Xenopus tropicalis: one gene and its partner. The protein of the gene in region 2 interacts with the protein of the main gene of each other region in a biochemical or structural test. Links are inferred from orthologs where the notes say so. Each region holds a gene or a part of one and is shown on either strand. Other genes may lie near its edges.

What was found.
Region 1: the proteins of tle4 (region 2) and pax5 form a complex in vitro, tested with the Homo sapiens proteins (2 studies listed by BioGRID). The link is inferred for Xenopus tropicalis from reciprocal best matches to the Homo sapiens genes TLE4 and PAX5.

Annotation. Positions count from the first base shown.
Region 1 is NC_030677.2:109,348,356-109,352,186, forward strand, and holds part of pax5 (paired box protein Pax-5), read left to right. Parts: intron 1-2,669; coding exon 2,670-2,867; intron 2,868-3,831. UniProt on the Homo sapiens protein: Transcription factor that plays an essential role in commitment of lymphoid progenitors to the B-lymphocyte lineage. Fulfills a dual role by repressing B-lineage inappropriate genes and simultaneously activating B-lineage-specific genes.
Region 2 is NC_030677.2:133,087,075-133,090,905, reverse strand, and holds part of tle4 (transducin-like enhancer protein 4), read right to left. Parts: intron 2,091-3,831; coding exon 2,037-2,090; intron 1,951-2,036; coding exon 1,798-1,950; intron 835-1,797; coding exon 705-834; intron 293-704; coding exon of another isoform or gene 290-292; coding exon 99-289; intron 1-98. UniProt on the Homo sapiens protein: Transcriptional corepressor that binds to a number of transcription factors. Inhibits the transcriptional activation mediated by PAX5, and by CTNNB1 and TCF family members in Wnt signaling.

The DNA of each region.
Region 1 (3,831 bases), about 24 Mb from region 2:
TCTACAGTAAGCTCATGCCAATAGAGAATCTAAACAAGTTGGTATTAAGATAAAAATATGACATTAGAACTATTTATTGCAGAACAAATACTCTGTGAAAAAGCATTTGCTATGACAGATCTAATTCTTTCTTGCAGTAATAAGACCAGCCTTCACAACTACTGGTACTTTGAGGTTAATGATCATAGAATCTCATTAGCTGATCATTATAGCTCTGGATCCATATTACACATAAAAATAATACTTTATTACAGTTCTTCTTTGCATTTTCCTAAATGTGTCTATGTTTCAGGCTTTAAAAGCAGCAGCCAATAAAAAGGATCTTAAAGGGAAATTGAAGAGTAAAAAACAAAATTACCATTATAAAATTAAAATGTATGCTGAGTATTCCAAGATATCTGTTTCCACTCTGTATGGTCGAACCGTTCATTAACTATTCTATTTATTTTTATTGGGTTTTTAGAAGCATATGTATCAATGGGTGGAAGCTAGAGTTCCCCATCTGATAAATATGCTGCTAAAAATTCAATAGAAATTAATAGAAAGAGACTGACTTTTTCAGTGTTGAGCACTAATCGCACATTTTGATAAATCTGTCCCTTTGATGATAGGAAGGGTGGTGCCCCTTCCTATTCTCTAAGGGACAGATTTATCAGAAAACCCAAAGGAAGTTGCAGAATCAGCTTATAGACCCAAATGTTTATTCAGACCAGTTATGCTCCTTGTTTAGTAACTAATCTCAGCGGTAGAATGAAATGGTACATTAGTAAAGGGTAACATGAAAACCCACCCCAATGAAACTGGTACCCATTTCACGACTAGACTCACAAGTTAAGAATCCCTGATTGACTTTATACTTTTGCACAATAAAGATATATGAAACCTGGGTAATATTTTTATGTAGCACAGAAGCTCCAATCATTTTGTGAGGTCAACTGGTCAAACAATAAGATTTCTCTTAGAAATATTGCTTTTGTATAGTAAAATAACCTTATAGTGGGAAAGCAGGAGAGCCACTTGACTTCTAGAATTGTTATGATTTCCATAGTAAAACTGTTTTCATTTGATTTATTTGTATTTATTTACATGTTTATTTATAGAGTGCTACAATGGACATGGAGCTTTATTTTTTACAAATAGAACAAATACAGCACAAATATTGTAATATAAAAATAAGTATTTATTTATATACAGCAATAAATATACACAATGGCAAAGATCAAGTGGCACATGATAGGAGGAAGGAAGCCCCTGCTCCATACTGGAGTGGATTAATGACAGGTACAAACAGGAGTAATAAGTTATGTTGTTTGCAATGGCTGTGCTAAGATATGACTGGACATAGTGCTAGTGCCTCAAGAGGTAGGATCTTTATGCTAAAGAAGGAGACTGGTCATTGCATGTTTAATAAAAATTTGTAATGCATTTTCTTATATAAAATTTCTATCGCCAAGGAGAATCATAACTGCTAATTTAGTCCTATGGGCTGTGATTATTTGTGAACCAAAAACAACTCTTTACAATGTTGATTACATATACTTTAATAAGTACAGGTTTTAATAAGTACCTGTGTCTATAGTTTCACAATATGGTGTTTACTACATGCGTTTAATGATTTGGGCTTATATCGTTGTGTATCTTGCCAATATAGAAAAGACCATATAGATCATTAAACAGTGGCACAGATTTGTGTAGGAATATCAGCAAATTTTGTATCAGTATGGTATCTTATGGCAACCAACCAGCATGTCTAATATCTTAAGAATAATGAACGCAAACATATGATTGGTTGTGTGGGTTACTGGGCTGGTTCAAATTGTGTCCAAATTACTATATACAGTACTAACGTGCTTTGTTTTGAATTAGTTAGTAGCATTGTAGGGCTTTACTGAACAACATACAAGGTATGCTGCCACATATATTGTAGAAACTTTTCTTTTGATGACAATGTCTTATCAAGACCAATTTTTCCTTTACCAAAACATTTTACCCTGTGTTTTTTCAAGAGAACTAGTATCATGGAAAGAATGAAAGATGACGTGAAAAATATTGGTGCCATTGTGCAAAATAAAAGACATTTCTATCAGGATTTCATTCTAAAGGACAATTTTGCCAAACGGCACCATCAATAATAAAACCTTTTCAAGCAGGAGCATTTTGCCAGTAACTGCAATTCACTGTCAGAGTGTTCGCTGTAAAATGGTTCTAAGTGTGATTTGTTTTCCTATAGCACTCTTGATTAATCACACACATTCTCTGGTGATATTAGATCCTAGCTTATCCCTTAATCATATATTGTTTTTATTCTTATGCTATGAAGAAATTATATTGAATGTCGTACTGCAATTTCTGATAATGCAAGGAAATTTATCAAGGTGACATTATGTGCAACACTCAGATTCCATTGAACCAGAATTTTAAATGCCTTTTAACTGACTATATATTTACACAGAAAAATAATAGGTGAAATTGAAGAAAGACATTGATCCATAAAGTTTAACCTTTTGCTTAAATAATTCCTACCTAACTTCTAAATGACTCATTTCACTATAATAGACTCTGGTTATTCCTGTGGGACTCCTTGCTATGCACATTTTCACTGCTTTCTTTCTTTTTTTTGACTTAGCAATAATAACCTTGTAAATATGCTGTCAATTTTATTTGAACAGGTACTATGAAACTGGAAGTATAAAGCCTGGTGTGATTGGAGGATCAAAGCCAAAGGTTGCAACACCCAAAGTTGTAGAAAAAATTGCTGAGTACAAGCGTCAAAATCCCACCATGTTTGCATGGGAGATTAGGGACAGATTATTAGCAGAACGGGTGTGTGACAATGATACAGTTCCCAGCGTCAGCTCCATAAACAGGTAAGAAACCAAAACCATCGAAACCATTTCTATTTCTATTTCATTATTGTACTAATAATCCATTCCTAGCTTCACCATGCCATTAAATGGAGTATACTTACTTTTGACTTTACTCTCTTTTTCTTGTGTTAACCAACAAGTGTATTGTTGTGTAGATAAAATAGTGATTTTAATAAGAAAATTATTAAAAGTTATAAAAATCACAGAATCTCTTATCTCTTCTTATTTGTCAAATCATTAGCAAATGTATAGATGAAAAAGTATTGATAAGATGTTTTAAATAGTACTGCAAGTCAGTGACAATGTAGGAATTTGGTAGGAAGTCCAGCACCAGTGTGGGATTGGCCTGCTGGAATACCAGAGGATATCCTGGTGGGCCCAGCCATGGACAGTTATCCTAAGCCCTTACTTATTTCCATTGTAGGTCTTGAGGTCAGGTTCTGTGGTGGCCCAGTCTGACTTGGTCCAGTGGCAGTAGATTATCTTTCCTAAATGCAAGAATAAGAAAATGAATATGTGGGGGAGGTCATTATTGACTACTAGTCTGTATACATTAGGAACAGTAGGCTATAAAGTCATGTCTGTGACCCACATATATTGAGACATTTGGAGGGTGCCAGAGAGCAAGAGCTCATAAAAAATAAATATAATGTTGCTGGGGCTACCCAAGATGTTACTCGGTGAGGGACATAAAATAAAAAAAAAAATATTACCCTATAACCTTGAGTATTACACCACCTACGTGTTATTGGGCAATTGGCGGATGACCATACCCTGGCCTTAACCTACCTTAAGTAAAGCTGTATTGATTTAGATGTTTAGATGCTCTTTCTTTGTTTAAATATTCAGATCTGAATAGTCAGCTAATTCTTTATTGAATCCTCTCTGTATAAATGTTATATTATATAATAATATCTTCTAAGTCAGTGTGTTTTCCACTGTTTCTTAATATATGCAAATTAAT
Region 2 (3,831 bases):
TTTTAGGTTTACAGATATTTTAAAATCATTAATAAAAAGAAAAAAAAAAAGAACAAAACTGTGCACAGAGCAATAAAGTATTAAAGTAGAATTCTTACCACTGGGGATCTTCCATAAGCAGCAGCTGCTGCAGCTGCAGCGGCCGCTGCACTCATTTGTGGGGAGATGTTATGAAGACTGGCATAAGCAGGCCCTGGACTGGTCAAATCCCCATTCATCCCAGCATGTGGTACGATCCCAAATGGGGTTGGATAAGGGCATGGAACAGCCATCGGTGTCCTAAGACCTGCTGCTTAAAGACATAAGAACATGTCATAAAACACAAATCACTGATTAAACTGTAAAAAAAAAAACAAAACAAAAACAAAAACCTTAAGCACCATATTCCAAATTAGTTTTTGTAAAATTAACTAGATCAGCTATAGCTATTCGAACAACATATAGACAATGAGCAGTGGAATACAAATCACAACTCAGAAATAAAGTTGCATCTGCATAAGGCCCATTAAACTATGGTGCTGCAGGCTCCAACTTTTTTCTTGCTCTTTATGGTACTAGTATTCTCAGGTTTATAAAAAGAAAAAAAACTCTAGGGGGCTGGAGATATTTAGTGTGCATTTTTTATGAAATATCCCAAGCCTCCAAGTTTGTCCCTTGTCCAACACAGATCTACACATATAGAGGTCAAATAAATAATATCTTACTTAATGGATCAACACCTGGTGGCTTGCCAGGAACAGGTCGCAATCCAGATGAGTTGCTGCCAGGTGTAGGAGCATCAGTTCGTGGAGTGGGAGTGTTTGATTTTGAAACAGGAGTCGTGGACTTCTCATTCTTCAGGGTCAAAATAAAAGACAAATAAAAAGCACACGTAAAAAAAACTTGCAAATCTAGAAACTAACCTTGAGTTGTAACAAGAATGGCTTGTCTTTACATAACATAAAATATACAATAATGCCATTAGCATTAGACTGTCACTAACAAAAAGGTGGAATAGACCAACATGTTAAATACTCTGGATCCTCCCAAAAGTAAACAGTTTATTGACGCTTTGGCTTACATGACTGAAAACCTCAAACACTCACCCAGCATAAGTCAACAACCCTAATGGAAGTGTCATTACATATGTGCTTTTATAATCAGATCTTTCAAACATCTATTAATAACAAGGGTGTGTATGATTGTGACTGGGTTGCTAGAGGAGTATGAATGCATAAATTCACCTATTAAGTGTAGTTTACTTACAGAACATGAAAACTGCCCAACTGCTAATTACAATTAGTTCTTTATGTCAGTAAGTGGGTTTGGCCTGAAAAGCACCAAAACTCTCAGGCACTTCCTATTCCAGTCAACAGAAGGTGGTGATTTTAAACTTTATTTCAGCTGGTTAAAAAGCAACCAGTGTGCTATAAAATTTAGTATTTTCATAAATATACATGTTTAGGTTAGCTTGCAAACCACTGAGTACTACTGATTTTGTCATAGACCTATAGAGAATACAAACAATAGCTATAGACCCCTAACGGCTGTGACACATGGGGGGTTTCGTGCCACTGCCACTATTGGTGTTATTCTGATATCTACTGGGAGCTGCTATCGTGCTACTTTCCCATTGTTCTGCTGATCGGCTGCTGGGAGGGGGGTTATAACACTCCAACTTGCAGATCAGCAATTAAGTGTGAATGAAGTTTATTAGAGCACAGGCCACGTGGCTGTAGCACCCCGGGAAATAAAGAACATGTTTTCACATGACAGTATTCCTTTACACAGTTCTATGTTTGAGCCAGATTTTCTTACAAGGCTGAGTTCTTTGGATTTTGAAGAAGGGGTACTACTGGATGAGGCAATGGAGGCTGGACTGATGGGGGCATCTTTCTTTAAAAGGCGTGGTTTATCCAAGCCATTTTCCCGCGGAGAATGCGCTGGGCTTCCTCTGGGAGACGAAGGGTCCTTAAAACAAGAAATTGTGTGGTTATGCAATTGTATCTTAAGAATGTCCAGCGAAGTTACTAGAAGGCACTAGAAAGAAAACGCACCTCATTGGAAACATCCACCACCAGGTTGTCATCACTTTTTTCACCATCACTGTCCTAAACGAAAAAGAAAATAACTGTTAAGTGAAAAATATGTGGAGAACGAAGAGACTAAAATTCATCAGAAACATTTACTGTTACCATTTGTTTACAAACAGAAAACGAAATGTAAAAGACATTAAAGGTCATGAGCTCTGGTATATCCTAACATGTTAGTTCTTTTAAATTAGCAATTTGGATCAGCCTGGGTGTCTCCCATTTGACTATCAGGCAAATGAAGCCATTTACAGTTTAATGCCATAAAATACTTCTCGCCAATTACAGAAGGGGTGGTAGGAAGGCCAGCATGGGTCAGTGTCCCTGGAGGCTGGCAATGGCTGGTTGTTACGCGCATACAACTTACCTGTCACCAGAACTCATTTGCAGACCTTCATGAGTGAGTGATTATGCTGAAAAGCATTATAGCATTTAGTCTAATAGCACATGGGGAGTTTTGACTACCATTGCCCTCAGGTGGAAAACAGCAGCAGTCATAATGCCCCCTCTACACTTGTCAACGCCTCCCACAGAAATATACGTGAAATATACTGCCTAAGCAAGACGTGGCTGCTTCTCACTGACGGAAAATCCCTGTGTGAAATTTCCATGGCTTCTTTTACACATTTGATGCCCCATGCATTTAAATTGTAACTGCACGGCAGGTAAATTTGACACTATTTACCATGGTTTGCATAGTCCATATGGGGGAAAATTTAGAACATTATTTTCTGTGCTGGGATTGTTAAATAGAAGTTGCAATTTTTTTTTTTTTTTTAAAGCATCGGTATGGTTCATTAAAAGATTATTGATGATAGTAAATCAATAAATTATAGCAAAAATAAACAGGGCTAATTTATTAAGGTGTTCCTACAGTGTGTGTGCATCATTGATCAGGTTTCAAGTCAAGTGCAGAAAAAGTTTTAGTTTCTTGGCAGCAAACACTGGGTAGAGGTATGGGTTATAAAAAAACCCAAAAATGTGACTATAACCAGGCTAGGAAACACATATTGTTGCAAGCAGGCCTGGACTGGCATTCTGTGGATTCTGGCAAATGCCAGAGGGGCTGCTATAAAATGCCATAGACAGACACTATTTATTAGGCTGGTGGGGGGCTGTTTGGGCCTCTGTGCCTGGGCCTATTTTAAATCCAAGTTCGGACCTGATTGCAAGCACCCAATAGAAGCAAGTGGCAATTCCTGCTAGCAACATTATTACAGTATACCTGTACAAAATTCTGCAAACCTGTGCCTTGCCAAAAGCAAAGCTCATACAGTTTGCCAACTTACATGCAGGGTTTGCAGAGTGCTGTAAGGAGCCTTATAATAATTACTGTCTGCTTTATAATTGTGGCTGTTGTCAGTGGGAAGCAACCCATGCCAATTTCCAACTTTTTAATGCTGGTTTTCTTTTTTTTTTATTAGTTTTTATTTAAGGTTTTAACATTTTAAGAACAAAAATAACAGTTTAGAGGAAGAAAGAAGGAAAGAAGGAAGGAGGAGAAGGTATATAGAGCTTAAGCGAGCCTGGCGGATTTATTAAGATTGTGCATTTAACCAGGTGTCCCACACTGCGTTAAACTTGGCTGGACAGCTTCTGAAAATGTAGACCAATTTTTGTTTAGGTAGCACATCATTGACTAATTTTTTCCAAAGGGCAATGCTGGTTTTCTAAAGCGTAACAACTGCAATGAAAAGCACTTAGGGTACCCTTAGGGTAGCAAGGCATGGGCTTATGTTGGTGGATAATGTATGATTCAACC